Linked DNA regions of Daphnia pulex. The protein of the gene in region 1 binds, or shares a complex with, the protein of each later gene. Links are inferred from orthologs where the notes say so. Each region holds a gene or a part of one and is shown on either strand. Other genes may lie near its edges.

What was found.
Region 2: mitochondrial import inner membrane translocase subunit Tim22-like (region 1) and mitochondrial import inner membrane translocase subunit Tim10 B-like share a complex: the UniProt entries of both Homo sapiens proteins name them as parts of the TIM22 complex. The link is inferred for Daphnia pulex from reciprocal best matches to the Homo sapiens genes TIMM22 and TIMM10B.
Region 3: the proteins of mitochondrial import inner membrane translocase subunit Tim22-like (region 1) and mitochondrial import inner membrane translocase subunit Tim9-like are in contact, whole or in part, in a cryo-EM structure (PDB 7CGP), measured with the Homo sapiens proteins. The link is inferred for Daphnia pulex from reciprocal best matches to the Homo sapiens genes TIMM22 and TIMM9. Residues at the interface, in NP_037469.2 of Homo sapiens: Asp35, Arg37, Gln38, Pro39, Arg40, Leu42, Gly45, Ser46, Leu47, Gly49, Ile50, Ser52, Pro53, Lys60; in NP_001291414.1 of Homo sapiens: Gln13, Glu16, Phe17, Thr20, Leu57, Thr60, Gln61, Met65, Phe67, His71, Gln74, Asn75, Leu78, Lys81.
Region 4: mitochondrial import inner membrane translocase subunit Tim22-like (region 1) and acylglycerol kinase, mitochondrial-like share a complex: the UniProt entries of both Homo sapiens proteins name them as parts of the TIM22 complex. The link is inferred for Daphnia pulex from reciprocal best matches to the Homo sapiens genes TIMM22 and AGK.

Annotation. Positions count from the first base shown.
Region 1 is NC_060022.1:5,354,731-5,358,227, forward strand, and holds mitochondrial import inner membrane translocase subunit Tim22-like, read right to left. Parts: upstream 1,905-3,497; 5' UTR 1,466-1,904; coding exon 1,255-1,465; intron 1,187-1,254; coding exon 999-1,186; intron 938-998; coding exon 902-937; intron 813-901; coding exon 696-812; 3' UTR 656-695; downstream 1-655. Other genes in the region: ribonuclease P/MRP protein subunit POP5-like, read left to right, coding at 105-250, 314-483, 549-653; transaldolase-like, read right to left, coding at 2,231-2,297, 2,484-2,691, 2,756-2,892, 2,971-3,096, 3,167-3,298, 3,360-3,467. UniProt on the Homo sapiens protein: Essential core component of the TIM22 complex, a complex that mediates the import and insertion of multi-pass transmembrane proteins into the mitochondrial inner membrane. In the TIM22 complex, it constitutes the voltage-activated and signal-gated channel.
Region 2 is NC_060022.1:1,979,462-1,983,400, reverse strand, and holds mitochondrial import inner membrane translocase subunit Tim10 B-like, read right to left. Parts: upstream 2,377-3,939; 5' UTR 2,286-2,376; coding exon 2,268-2,285; intron 2,200-2,267; coding exon 2,104-2,199; intron 2,027-2,103; coding exon 1,769-2,026; 3' UTR 1,741-1,768; coding exon of another isoform or gene 832-1,740; 3' UTR 774-831; downstream 1-773. Other genes in the region: transcription initiation factor TFIID subunit 7-like, read left to right, coding at 1-178, 247-386, 444-546, 603-772, 832-858; L-seryl-tRNA(Sec) kinase-like, read right to left, coding at 853-1,740; myosin-VIIa-like, read right to left, coding at 2,825-3,028, 3,097-3,266, 3,343-3,666, 3,737-3,938. UniProt on the Homo sapiens protein: Component of the TIM22 complex, a complex that mediates the import and insertion of multi-pass transmembrane proteins into the mitochondrial inner membrane.
Region 3 is NC_060017.1:2,955,355-2,958,293, forward strand, and holds mitochondrial import inner membrane translocase subunit Tim9-like, read left to right. Parts: upstream 1-1,395; 5' UTR 1,396-1,496; coding exon 1,497-1,550; intron 1,551-1,780; coding exon 1,781-1,876; intron 1,877-1,933; coding exon 1,934-2,053; 3' UTR 2,054-2,106; downstream 2,107-2,939. UniProt on the Homo sapiens protein: Mitochondrial intermembrane chaperone that participates in the import and insertion of multi-pass transmembrane proteins into the mitochondrial inner membrane.
Region 4 is NC_060017.1:2,651,125-2,655,381, reverse strand, and holds acylglycerol kinase, mitochondrial-like, read left to right. Parts: upstream 1-1,642; 5' UTR 1,643-1,657; coding exon 1,658-1,665; intron 1,666-1,805; coding exon 1,806-1,988; intron 1,989-2,055; coding exon 2,056-2,175; intron 2,176-2,241; coding exon 2,242-2,302; intron 2,303-2,361; coding exon 2,362-2,530; intron 2,531-2,591; coding exon 2,592-2,651; intron 2,652-2,724; coding exon 2,725-3,132; intron 3,133-3,197; coding exon 3,198-3,353; intron 3,354-3,422; coding exon 3,423-3,709; 3' UTR 3,710-3,747; downstream 3,748-4,257. Other genes in the region: trypsin-1-like, read left to right, coding at 5-126, 228-328, 405-666, 775-921, 1,003-1,093, 1,162-1,256; coiled-coil domain-containing protein 134-like, read right to left, coding at 3,748-3,921, 4,001-4,176, 4,241-4,257. UniProt on the Homo sapiens protein: Lipid kinase that can phosphorylate both monoacylglycerol and diacylglycerol to form lysophosphatidic acid (LPA) and phosphatidic acid (PA), respectively. Does not phosphorylate sphingosine. Phosphorylates ceramide.

The DNA.
Region 1 (3,497 bases):
AATTTAATGGGATAAATTATATCGCAATTTACCCTACTGTTAAATGGGATCTTGTTTCAAGATTCAGCTCTTTGTTGCTATTTCATCTTTTATTCACATTTCAGATATTTAACTGCAGAAATTATACCAGGGGATTCGACTACACAGCCTCTAAATGTGAAAAAATATGATTTACTTGCATCAGTCCTTGATGTCACTGAACAGATCCATGGAGAGTTTGGAGCTGCAGCAATTAGAAATGGCTTAGAAAGTAAAAACACTTAACTTTGTACTAATATTGGTGTTCTTTAATGTGTTTTTTAATGACATCTAGTCAAGTACTGCAATGAAAACACACAAATAGCAATAATCAGATGTAGACATGGCCCACATAGACTGTTGGCCTCATCACTTCCATTCCTATCAACAGTTGGTAAAAGAAAAGTTCAACTTCAAAGTGTTTACACAGGAGCTACCATGGTGCGGTGCTTCAAATTTTTAAAGGTTACTTTTGGGTGTCAATTTTAAATTAGTTTGCATTATCATACTAATAAATCCTTTCATTCTAGAAATTTCATGAAGACAAGATAAATGAAGCTTTGAAAACCTGTAAAACAGAGCAAGAAAAAAAGAAAGTTATAGAAACCATGACCAAGGCCAATTTGGAATTCTGAAATATTTGTAATAAACTGTATTTCAACTATTTGTCTGAATTGTCAGTGTCTCATGTAGTAGTCTATTGCAGTAGAGAATGCTGCAAATCCTAGTGCCCCTACAATTCCAGGTTTAAGTCCAGCTCTAAGACCAATCAGTCCTCCAGTAATTCCACCAGCCTGCATTCAAAATAATTTAGAAATGGGTTTTTAAGATGAATCACTCAATTTCTTTCCACAAATTTCTCTTAAATAGGGAAACAAATTACATAGGTTCCGTTCTTCCAATCTGCTTTCCCGCGATACTAAAAATGAAATATGGAATTACGCCAAGTTTTACATTGTAAAGAAAACGTGTTTACTTACAGATTCAATGGTGCACTCAACTGCAGAAAACATAAGACCAACAAGAGCAAAATTTTTTGCATAGCTAAGTGTAGAAAACTTCAAATCTCTGAAGATTTCTTTGGCTGTCTGTTGAGGTGCATCAGGGGCGGTGATATTAGGACTCACACTGGCACTGAACAATCCCAATGCAGCCCCCAATCCATAACCTGAATAAAATTATTAAAACATTATAATCAAAAAATAAATGAGTTTGCCAAATTGTTCTTGGTAGTACCCATTACACTTGCTACAAGTGATTTAAAAGCACATGATTCAAAGGCTGCTTCTACGCGTTTCTCATCAATACTTTTGATGTGAATTGGACCGACTGTCCTGGGGATGATGATTTGTTCTCGATATTTACAGTTATTTCCGACAAAATATTTCATTAAGGAATCCATCTCGTAAGGAGAGAACCCAGCAGGAGAAGTTGTTGATTCGTCCATGGTCTGTCAAAAGTGGTTACGTTTTCCAGGCACCAGTTTGGATCAGTTTAGAAAGATGCACATTCACTTTGATCAAATTATCTGGATGAAGACAAATTTTAAAAATAACTTGTACAGGGTAAAATTGAGATTTGCTTCTTTTTAGAATATGTACGGAAGAGAAGACCATGAAGACGATCACAAATTCACAACAGTCGGCTTGAAACGTCGTCTGCTTTTTGAAAACTTGGTACAGCGTTGCATTGCATAAGACTCTTTTACGTCATCTTCCACGTCTGCTTGGCGCTTGCTGTGCCCTGTGCCTGTGTCTCCTTACCTGTCTGTCTATCCGGATTACTGATCGGCTGATCCGATAAAAGCGACAAGACGGACAATCTCATTTGAAACTCTTCGCCGATTTCTTTATGTTATCTACTTACTTTTAAGTTTAAACCATATTTGAAACTGAAAAGTAACGGCGGATAACATTAGACCAAATAAATCAAAGATGTTTCCTTAAACGATTTTTGCGTAGAGTAGAGGAAAATTTATAACAGGAAAAAAACATTTAATTTCTTTGTAATTCAATAGGAAGCAGAACCACGGAATGTTGAAACTGATCACCAAATAGCAAATAGAGACTTAGAGTAGGCTGATTAATTTTAAATTAGTAGTAAAATTCTTATAACTACATTTTCCAGTTGAAAGAATAATCTATGACATTTCTTACGCTTTAAAAACCAACAATCAAGGTTGAGTTATCGATCTTCATAGGATCTAGAAATTTTAAGCGTTGAGTTTTTCGTTGATAAAGGTTTCCAACTTGACGGCGTCGACCGCAAACTTACGGATGCTATAAAATAGAAATAAATTATTTTATGTTATATTTATTAGTTTGTTCCCTAATATTTTTAACCAAAATTTATCAGGAATTTTTATAATGCATCTAACAATAAACCACTGTTTGTGGAAACAATCCTTAACCAGTATTAACCAATCGTTATCTAACCCACAAAAAAGTATAAGGAAATCAGAATACCCGTCACTGAGCTTATCGGTGGCCATCTGATCTTCATTCAGCATCCAACGGAAAGCTTTCTCGTCCAAAGAAATGCGTTCGAGATCGCATGTTTTGGCTTGCTCTGCATCAAGTTGACGAGTGACGCTTGCGCTGCTAGCATCCAATTCTTCCAGCAACTTTGGGCTGATAGTTAATAGATCGCATCCAGCAAGAGCAGTTACCTCGCCTATCAAACAATTTGAAATTTAACTAGCGTCCACGTTTAATAAACAGAACTGTGTAGAAAATACCGGTGTTTCGGAAAGACGCCCCCATGACTACGGTCTTGTAACCAAACTTCTTGTAATAGTTGTAGATCTGAGTGACTGATTTAACTCCAGGATCGTCTTCGGGAGCATACGATTTAGTAGAAGTGTTGCTCACATACCTAGAGATAGAGAAATGAAGAATAAAAATGGTGCGCTTAAAAATGTCATTACTCATTAGTCTTTAAATTCCTTCTTACCAATCCAAAATGCGACCAACGAAAGGAGAGATCAGAGTAACACCAGCATCGGCGCACGCAACTGCCTGGCAGAAGCTAAACAGCAACGTCAAGTTGCAGTGAACATCGTGCTTTTCTTCAAGTTCCCTGCGTGACGGCAATTATTGAAAACAATTATCTCATAGGAAAAAAACGCGAAAACACTTTCAATCAATACTTTGCTGCTTGAATTCCTTCCCAGGTCGAGGCCAATTTAATGAGAACCCTTTCTTTCTCAATACCTTCTTCAGCGTACAACTCGATAAGCTTGAGAGCCTTCTTCACGCTTCCCTCTTTATCGAAAGAAAGTCTGTGGACAAAAATCGAAAGTTAGGACATCATTCTGCAGTTAACGTCTGGTGGTCAACCACCTGGCGTCCACTTCAGTAGAAACGCGACCAGGAACAATTTTCAGAATTTCAACTCCAAACAAGACAAAGAGCTTGTCCATTGTAGCAGCTAACTTTGCAGCATTGTCCCTAATAAATAAAGCCATCAGCTACAGTTCA
Region 2 (3,939 bases), about 3.4 Mb from region 1:
GAAGTCAGGCGCCTACTGCGTGTTGATAATGAAGCGGTAAGTGTACGATGGGAACTGATCACAGAAGAAGATGAATCTAAGGTAAAGGCAGCCAATGAAGCTGGGTTGGGAGATGGGGCAGCAATGACCGTCCCTCTTGCATCCGGAACATTCGTTAGCACACAAAACCGTGGCTTGGGTATGTTTTGTAAAAACCAACGGTTTTCAGCACTCGTTCAAATTGCTTCATACTTCTGTTATCTATAGCCGAACACGATATTTTTGGTGAGGCACTAAGCGACTCAGATGAAGAACATGGAAGCAAGATCAACATTATGGAATCAGACTACGAAAACAGTGACGAATCCCGTGGATCGGGTTCGGAGTTCTATGCAGGAAGCAACAGGGTACCAAATTTAAAATAATTAAATTTGTTTCGATAGTTGTTACATTCTCTTTTTTAGGGGTCCAATTCTATGATAACCCAATTTAGCGGAGATATGTTTCGGGATGACAGCAGTTCTTCTAATCTATCTCCACAAAAAAAGGTCATCGACACACAAAAAGGTAAACATTTCAAATTTGTTTTTCTGCTTTAAAAATTAATATCATTTGTCGTTAAGACGATTTGCAAAAAATGGCTGATAAACTGAGGGATGAAATCCGTGAGATCAAGAACATGAGACAAGCTCAAGAAAACGAGCTAGCTACAATTGAAAACGCCGCCCTCAAGCAAAGATTTCAGATGGCTCTTTCAAAACTTGTTGCTCAGGAACAAGAGAAAAAGGAAGAGGTGATCTCTATTGTGTTGTTTATTATTATTTCAGCTATTTTTAACAAATTGTATTCTAGTATGACCAAATCATGTCCATGTTATAACGGACACCTCTGGATAAAAGCTGAAATGGACCAAACCTCAAGGATAGATAAATCGATGGATCCATCCGCCTTCAGAATGTCTGTCGGGATTGCAATGGCGCCTGTTTTGATCCCTTCCAAAATAGATTGTCGAGTGTCGTTTAGTTGTGCTGCCAATACACGAGCGTCTTTTTCTTCTTTACGTTCGCGTATACATTGGTTTAATCTTTTTCTAAGAACTTTGTCGATATTGTGAAAGATGTTGTGATCGTTGCGTAGTTTGCTTTGCTCGGACGCAAGCTTCTTTTCTTCTAGAGTCTTCAATGTTGAGACAGGACTATCCACAGCATTCTGGATGTAATTCCATATCTTGTTCAATATTTCTGTATCATTTAAATCAATGTGTCCAATCGTCAAAGAATTTTCCCACGCTTCACAGGGATCTTCAAATTTGGTGTTCATTTGAGTGATTACAATGTCAGGAACACGGCTGCTTTGCGGACGACTGTTGTTTTGGAGTAACGCTTCAGACACTTCGCATTTGACATAAATTTGAAGGTAGCCTGTGTAGAATTTGGCCGCTAACTGATGATATTCATACCGCATACTTCGATAGTAGTTGTTATCATCAACAATTACGACACACTTTTTGGAAGAAGGATTGGGCACTTTCAAGAAAGACTCCACAGTGTCTTTCATCTCGCGACGGTAATGCTTTGTTATTTCACTAGATGACGAAACAGCAATTTCAGCCTGTTTTTCTAAACTCACAATAGTATCAAAAGTTGCACAATTCACAATGCAATTGTTTTCTGTTAAAAAACTACATAATCTTCCTGCTAACCAGCTCTTTCCACTGGCAGGCAAACCTAGTAACACCACAATGCAATAACACTGATTCATTTCTGTCCTGTTGGTATGTGTCACTATTTTACACAACTTGAGGCTCTAAAGATGAGGTCTCTTGTGAAACATGTTGAGGCTCAGTTTCTGCTATTATGACTGACTGTGCAACTGTGTTAATTTCAGCAACTTCAGGAATAGTTTCTGCGACTGCTTGTGGTGGGTTAAGTTTCTCCATCTCTTCCACTCGCTTTTGCACAATTAGAGGTTGAACTTCCATATACACAGACATGATTTTATGGTTGACTCTAATGTTCTTCGTTGAGCACATTTCAACACATTTATCCTAAAAAAAAGCAAAAACAAAAAAATAACTATTGGTCTGATATGTTATGAAAGAGAAACCTCATGTTCTTAGCCTACCTCATCTTCAGTCAGCTCTCTAGTCTGAAATGTGTTCACGCATCGCGTGAAACAAGTTTCTGACATTTTGTTGAACACTAAGAGAAAATCTTTAAACTAGGAAGAAGAGATCAATTAACTTTCTGGCATTAATTACAATTCAAATACATTTTCTAAAAACTTACGTTCCTGAGTGCATCCATTTCGAATTACTTTCCACAAATTGACAATTCATGTCGTCTGCAAAACATATGGCTCACCGGGTTGCCACATTAGCCGAAACGTCAACATATCCGTATTTTGTTTAAAAAAATTTAAAAATTAATTTACTTGTTTATCTATTGATTTCGAGTGTAAAATGCTTTATTATAATTCTTCATTTTTCAAATAACATATACATAAATTTGTTAAAAGACGATTATGAGGGCGATGAAAACTGCAAAGGGGAAACGGGATCGTTCCTTGCTTTTGAGGAGAGCTAGCGAAGCATGCATTGACAATAGTAGACCCCGTCAAAAGCAGATGACCCCGGTGTCAATTAAAAATAATTCAAAAAAAAACACGGAAAACTAGGTAGTGGCAAAATATCGCAAAATTCAGAAACTATTCACAAAGTTGCTAATTCTCGTGATGGAAAATCAATCTATAAACTGACCAAAGGAACGAAGCTCATCTCGATAGCCAACATTTACGTTCTCGTTTGAATGGGATAAAATGGTGAAGAATAAGAGCGAGCAAATTATTAGAGCCGCATGGACTTTTGCTTGTTCATGGTATTCAACATCAAGGAGATGTAGGAGGTGAGCAAGTCGTCCATCTTGTAGCCGAGCGAGGTTTCGCACAGCAATTTCGATCCTCGCACCAGGTTGCCGATAGTCATGTGGAAGTAAGTGTTGCCCGAAGACCAGTTGGAGATGCGCGTGAACGGGTGAGTCACCAAAATGTCCTAGAACACGAACAAATGTTAATTCCGAGTTCAAAAAAGAAAGATAATGGCGGGTGTGCGATATTCACCTTAGTCTGTGGATGGATCAGACAGACTCCGCTTTTGTTGATGGCAATCAAAAGCTGTTCGGGGAAATTGGGCTCGGTCGTTTGTTTGACTTCGAAGAAGGCCGAACCAAACGTTGGCCAGCGGTAAATAATCTTTAGAAAGTTGATCTTGGCGTCTTCGGCACTCATTCCTAAAATGTTCAATTCAAAACGATGTGGCGTCAACACCAAATGGAATCAAGTCAATCATTCAATCAAATGTCAAACCTGAATCTTGAGCGTGAGCAGCCGTGATAGTTTTCTTCCAATCATTGTTGCCTAAAAGTTTGATCAGATCGGCCGGGACCAGGTCGCGTAGCATTTGCGGCACGTTGGCCAGCTCGGCTTTGCTCTCGCCGAAGCGGACGCGGTAAATGAAAGCGGCCAGACGGATGGCTTCGTCCTTGTTGCAGCGGTGATAGCCTCTCAGCAGTTTAGGCAACTCTTGGTGGAAATGGAAGATGGTATCGGCGTTGCGGTCTTTGCCCGGCACGGTGTTGGTCCACAGTTTCTTCATGAAAAACACTTGGTAGGTGAATTGAGGCGTGATACCTGTCCAGGCCATAAACATATAATAAAGAAAAAGGGATAACGATAAAATTGTAGACGATGTGAACGTTACCGTCTTTGGTCGGTTTGGCCTTTTTGATCCAGTCCGTCAAGTGGCGGACGAAATCAAAGAAAAAGTCTTCTTCGGGCACCGAAATGACCTTGTCGGCAATCTTGACAAAGAGACTGAAACCTTCGTCCGACTTGAGTGCCAGTCGCTGCGAGATGCTTTGGCAAAAGTCTTTAGCTCTGGTGGAAGAATCGACTTCAAAGGCC
Region 3 (2,939 bases), on another chromosome or scaffold:
GAGTCAAAAGAGGTCGCATGAGGTCGTTCAACCGTTCCGCCAATGGAAGAAAGTTGTGTGAGAAAAACTTTCGTGGCCTGTAGGAAAGGTCCATGGATTAGTACAACGTTAATAAAGAGAGCACAAGACCAACTGTTGTTGGCTGTGCCAAGCTCTGGGCCATGACGTCACATCCGCCTAGCGGGAAAGAAAAGAAACGGCCACAACGGGCTTACCGCAACAAGAGGGGAATATAATACAAGCTAAAGAATAAACCGATAAAAACGAAACAACTTCCCTTGGAGCGTGAATTTTTTCTTCTTCCAGTCGCACACACAATCGAGGAATAAAAAAAAAGGGCCTTACAATCGAGAGCCTTACGGCATTGGGCCACTAAAGTCCCATTTGTTGTTGTTGTTTTCGTGTGGAAAACTCTCAAGGCTACGGTGAAAGGAACCGTGACGCCATCTTGCGGCTTGCCCATTCGAAAGGGAAACAATTCAAAAGAATCGCACCGTCCATCTCACCAGGAAGTCGTCACGATTTCTGACTTTACGGCAATTTGACACAATATAATACAAAAATTGAATTAAAAACAATATCGACGTTTGATCAAAACATTTTCTTTTTTAAAAGAAATGACGCGACCCGTCAAATTTTAATTGTCCTCATTTCGGCTGAAAGCAGTTCAAAATTCCGAAAAAGACCTTGATTGAAATTCACAACTTGTACGGTGACGTAACTATAATACGGTCCTTGTGACACATCACGCGAAGACTTATTAAAACAAAAAACAAGGTGCACCATGTCTGAACGTTCTCAGGTTTATAGATTGTCCTACCTGCGTGCGGAATCTTGAGTGGATCCCGGACGTCACGAGGAGATCTTCAACACCTCCAAAAGTTTTTCCTTAAAAACAAAAGAAGGAAAAAGATATATAATAAGTTATTTTTAAAATTCCAAGCACATCTGGAAGTCAGACAAAGACCCAGGTATGACCTCTCTTCTTCTTCTGCATCTCATTTTCCAAAAAGAAATAAAACAATGGTTACAATTTTACGACATTGCTTATTAGCATGCAACTCTCGTCGACTACCTCACGAGGGAATAAAATTGTTTGAATGATGGGAGGTCTGGCAACAACTTATGGGGTAGAATCATCAATGAAGCCCCGGGGCCACTTTTTCCTCTTGCATCTATCTATCGTCATAAAAATGATCGAAATGATCTTACCTCACGCTGCCGGCACCACGAATTCACTCACACGCAACGAAAAGATCTTGAATTCACCCGCGAAACACACTCACGAAGCACAGTGAATCGAACTGACGACAAGGTTTTATTAGTGTTTTTCAAAGCCAAGCTGCCTTGGCGACCGTTGAGTGCGTCGACTGTTCAAAACTGATGTAAACACTGAAGTCACCAATGAGTTCTTGCTTCCTACGCCAGGTGGCAGCTAGTGTCTGAAATCACACGAGGAAAATGTCGTCTGCTTTCACACTTTTCTAAAATCTAAAATGACTTCCGAAGCAATTGACGCCGCTAAAATTGAGGCGGAACAAATCAAATCGGTAACTTATTCGGCTATTATTTTTGTCTATTTGTATAAGTGGAAATAACGATTGTTTTCTTGTTCTCAAATCTGTTGATTGCAAGTCATTTTTTTACATTTGCTAAATGATCAAGTCACGTTGCTTCAACTGGAGATATTTTCTTACGTGCATATTATATTGGTCTTTCTTCGAACGACTGTGACGTATGGATTAAATTTGCATAACTTTTTTTCTTACCCTTTGTACAGTTCCGAGATTTTCTCTTCTCCTACAACAAACTTTCTGAGCTATGCTTTGTGGACTGTGTGTGGGACTTCACTTCGAGGACCATCAAAGACCAAGAAGTAAAAAACCAGAATTTTGTATTATTTGCAAGGTAATTATTATTGTTTTTGTTTCAGAATTCCTGTGCAGTTAATTGTGCTGAAAAGTTCCTGAAGGCTAACCAAAGGATATCTCAGTGTTTTCAAGAGTTTCAAGTCCTATCTAATGAAAATGCATTGGCAATGGCTAAAAAGTAAATCAAATCTAATGTGTGTATGTAGGTTTTCAATAAACATTTAATCCATTCAAACTATGAGGGATTCTCCTTTTCACACCAGTTCTGACGGTTCTTCCTGTTGCGTTGTTAACACGGTACTTAACATATGTGTCCATGTGACCCAATACAGGGTGTTGTACTATTCTCATTGCCGTTGTGATTTGAGGAAAAATTTGTCGAGTAGAGGTCGTTCACTTGAGGCTAGTCGAGTATGGTTGTCATTATTTACGGTACAAGATAGATAGAATCAATGGGAAACGCATATCCCTTTCTGTATTCATCTTGTACAAAAGAAACACCTCAAAACTTTCTACACCGGAATGCCAGCAGTATCCTTTCTCAAAGCAAAAATAGAAGGAAACTTAATATATTTCATTCGGAACTTGTTGGTTTGCAACGGGATTCGGCGAGGGGTGTGTTTTATTTCATCACCGGAAACACAAAAAGAAAAAAGCGTCGTCTTGTATCGACCGTCCTTGGTGCTGAAACAGTCCTTGCATTCGAAAGAGGTGGTCTATGGCGTTCGGAATAAATAATTTCAAGTGTTTACTTATTAGCAGTCAAGTAATCATGCCTTTGGAATGGTTGGAGCATACCCCTTGTTGCTACCTGTAATTCTTCTTCTTGTTGTTTGCTCAATTCCGGTGAGTTGGATAGAGTCCTTATAAAACGTAACTAATTTTCAATTTTAAAAAATAATTTTGTTTCCAACAATAAGAGCACGTCTGGAAGGCCTTTGACATTTAGAGATTTCAATCCAACTGGATCATCGCCGAATAATACATTCCGCGAGGTAAATATATTGTCCAAAAATTGCATATGTACGACTGCCCCAGATACAAACAGATTTGTCATCTTCAATATGA
Region 4 (4,257 bases), on another chromosome or scaffold:
AAAGCAGCCAGCAGTCTCGCACGGTTTCCCTTGAGTGTTTTCCTTGATACTGAACTAATAAGAACTAAACGTGATGGACGCATCATCGGTGGAGCCGATGCGAAAGAAGGAGAATTCCCCTGGATGGTTCGTTAATTTTCTCTCGCTAAATTTGAAAATGTTGTCGTTATTTCTAGTATTGTGACTCATTGTTGGTACGTAACTCTTTTCTTCTTCATCCTTTAAAGGTTTCGTTGCAGAGAAATGGCTTTTTCGGGCGTTCTCATTTTTGTGCCGGTTCGATAGCAGATGCGAGCAGTATCATCACTGCGGCTCATTGTTTAGAAGAGTATAAGCAATACGTTTTAAATTTCACCAAGAGAAAGTTTGAATGATAATAACCGCAAGATTCACGTACTATATAGGCTTCATCCAATTGGAGTTTGGGCGGTTGCTGGCGAACACAGGTTAGATCTCGTTAGTGGTTATGAACAAGAGCTGAGAGCAGTCCAATTTGTTCTTCACGAAGAATATGACCCAGATTACCTGAGGAATGATATTGGAATAATTCGATTAAATGGAGCCTTCGTATTCAACTCTTACTTGAAACAAGTTAAACTTCCTAGATCCGGCTACTTTACTCATCCAGACACGGCCGTTACGGTCGCAGGTTGGGGAACCACAAAAGTACGCGTTTAATAATAAATTCATTAATTTAAGGCTCATCTCTTTTGAGAACTTTAAGCGCATGAATAATTTAAACTCGAGGATGCTGAAATAAATTCGCTTATGCAGGAAGGAGGGAATTTATCTAATGTGCTACTAAAAACGACAGTTCCTGTGGTATCCGACGAAGACTGCCGCTTAATTTATGGTGCAGGGCTAATTGTTGATTCCATGCTATGCGCTGGATATACATCCGGAGGCTATGATTCGTGTCAGGTATATGCAGAAAATTTAATTCTGATAAGTTAATTTAAGTCTGATATTAAATAATGACACCAAAATTTTACAAAAATATAGGGAGATTCTGGTGGACAGCTCATGTTGGGTGACAAAACTCTTGTTGGTATTGTGTCTTGGGGTAAAGGCTGTGGTCAACCTGATTATCCCGGTAAATTACAACACTTTGCAATAAATTTATTGAATGATCTTGTTGATTTTTCGCTATCTTTTAATAAGGTGTTTACACCGAAGTTTCGGCTTATATCGGATGGATTAATATGAAATTATCAACGGCGGAAGCTTCCACAACAACACAAACATCTCGTAATTGAATAATTAATAAAATGTGGCTAAATTTTAAAATAAAAAAATGGGCACGCAAATCTAACGATAAACATACGTAATTATTTTTGTACAATATTGAAATATCAAATATGAGAGAAACTTTGCTATCTGAATAAAATGTATGTAAATCAAATTTTCAAAAGGCAACAAACTTTCATTTTGCGTTACTAGTGAACACATGGTCCAATCCAATCCAATCCAAGGAAAACATCTGGTGGGGCGTCCATAATCCTACTTTTTTGCGTTATCGAAAAAAGGTAGCGTGGATGAATTTTGAAAAGTTTATTCCCCAATACTCCCAATAAACCCGTTTGTGTAGGCCTAATTAGAGAAAGCGAGAGAAAGAAAACGTACGGTACTTGATCGGACATTGGAGATCAAGATCCACATGAAAACGTATGCAAACATATTGATATCGTTGCATTTTGATCGACTGACAATATTTTGCCTTATTTATTTATGATATGGGAATATCTGCGCGATTGTGAGTTGATTGTGGAAGAAAAAATTGAAACACTTTATCCGTTTACCAATAGATGTCGAAAAATACGTCGTCTGCAGAACGTTATTTTCAAAACACGGCGAGACCTGAACCGCCTGAACTTCAACATGGCAAGGATCGTTCGCATTTTCAAAACCCTGCGAAATAATTGGAAGAAATCAACCGTTGGTTTTCTCCTCGTTTCTTATGGAGTAAACTATGGCGTCACAAAATTCAGGTACTCATAGAAGTGAAATGTATTTTACCAATGATTATGTCTTAAAATATTTCTCCCATTGGTGCAGGACTAAAGAGATGTTGAGACTTTATTGTGAGGAAGCTAAAAGCTATGGGGATGTTCCACTTCCTATAGGACTACCTGCTCGCCAAATAACTGTAGTGTTGAATCCCGCTTCAAATGGAGGGTGCTGCACTTAATATTTTCTCAAATCACTTTGACGTTTTTAAAAGTTAATTTTAAATGTGTATAGGAAAGGCAAATCAGAATTTGAGGATTATTGTGCTCCATTACTTTATCTTTCTGGAATGAAGGTTTGAGTCTCATTATTTATTTTTGTTTGACCTTAATAAGTTCTCATTCTCTATTCCAGGTCAGTGTGGTCAAAACTGAATCTGTTGGAGAAGCCAGGGGATTGATGGAAGTGATGGATAACTGTGATGCAGTAGTTGTTGCTGGTGGAGATGGAGCCATAACAGAAGCTGTAACTGGATTGCTGAGAAGGAATGATAGTGGGTTAGCAGTCCAACGATTTCCTATTGGTATCACAATGAATTATATATTTCCCTAAACATTTTGTTTGAAAATATGTTTCTTCTCCAGGTATCATCCCTGTAGGAAAACTCAATAACATTGCAAAATCTATCTTTAAAGAACATAAAGGTATGCAATATTTTGATGGTTTAAAAATGCAGCTTTTAATTGATTCTACTATTACCCCTTGGTCTCTTTTCAGATGATAGAATCAAACTCATGGCTGAAGCAACTATGGCAATAATAAGAGACTTTCAAAAACAGGTAGATGTTATGAAGGTAGAAATATTGGAAAATTCAGAAAATCCTACTGGAAAACCAGTTTACGCACTTGGTGAACTGAAATGGGGAGCATTTCGAGATGTCGAGGAAAGAATTGGGAAATACTGGTTGTGGGGACCACTGAAGTCATATGCCGCCTATTTCTTTGGAGCTTTCAAAAATCTCACGTGGGAGTGCAATGCACAGTTTCACTATACCGTACCGTGTGAGGGTTGTAATAACTGTATGAGAAACAATTTGCAAGATGCAAATGAGCTGAAATTTGGTTCGCAAGTACAGAATTCTCGATGGTGGCATGCTTTTATACCACGAACTAGATCCGTCAAAGGTAATTGTATTCCTTTTATCAGGTCATTCACGTTATCTTAACATATTATTTACAAATTTCTCTAGATACAAAACAAGTCAAAGATTATTCAAAAGTTGTTAATCCCGAATGTGGGGTATGGCATCAGAAGGATTTCTCATCCGTAGAGTTCCAAGTTCTAACCGAAAACAATGTAAATTTCAGTCCTCCAAATCTACCGAAACATTTGGAAGTCAATCTTGGTAAAACATCTTTTAAATAGCTGAAACCTGTGAGTGATAATTAAAAAAAAAATTCACTCTCTCACTTAGGACCTGAAAATATAAGTGGATTTGAGTTCGTGAAAGAGGGTTGGTTAAGGACCAAAACAGAGACCAGTCAAAATAATCGCGAAAAGATTCTCGTACGCCAATTTGAAATGATCCCTAAAATTGAAGAAAGTTCGATAGCGGAAAAGGAAACAACTGAAGAGGGAAAAAGTGTTGAAGTTGAAGAAAGGTGGTATTCGATAGACAATGACAACTACGAAGTTAAACCAATTCGAGTCACCGTTTTACCAGACGCCATTAAAGTTTTTAGCGCATCTACCAGTAGATAAATTGTATTTATAAGAAAATAAAACAATTTATATAGCTTTCACAATTCATTTTTTAATCTTGATCCCGATAAAGAAGGACCTTTAGATATTTTCTTTCTCACTTTCTTCTTTTCGACATTTTCGGGTAAAGGATCTGGTTTCTTTCGATTTGCCTCTGCGTATGGATTAAAATAATTTGATTCTCGTTCGACCAAATTTAATTCTTGCGCAACCTGCAATATTTTCAAATGTCAAGCATTAAGAAGATGAATAACACTAGAATGGTTTGATTAAAGAAACATTGAAATTTACCAAGTGCAGCATTTTCTTTGTTGCAGTGCTCAAAAAGACAGACTGTTGACAAATACTTAAACTCCATTTGAATATGGTATTCCATTCATTATTTTTAAGAAACGCTTTTGTTGCATCAGGTAAATAGAGCACAAGATCCCCCATAAATGCAGTATTTTCTATCATGCTTGACAGAGCTATTTTAAAATGCCTCATCATCATTAGCTATAATTTCAGAATAATAAAACCAATAAATAATACCATCACGAAGAGATTCA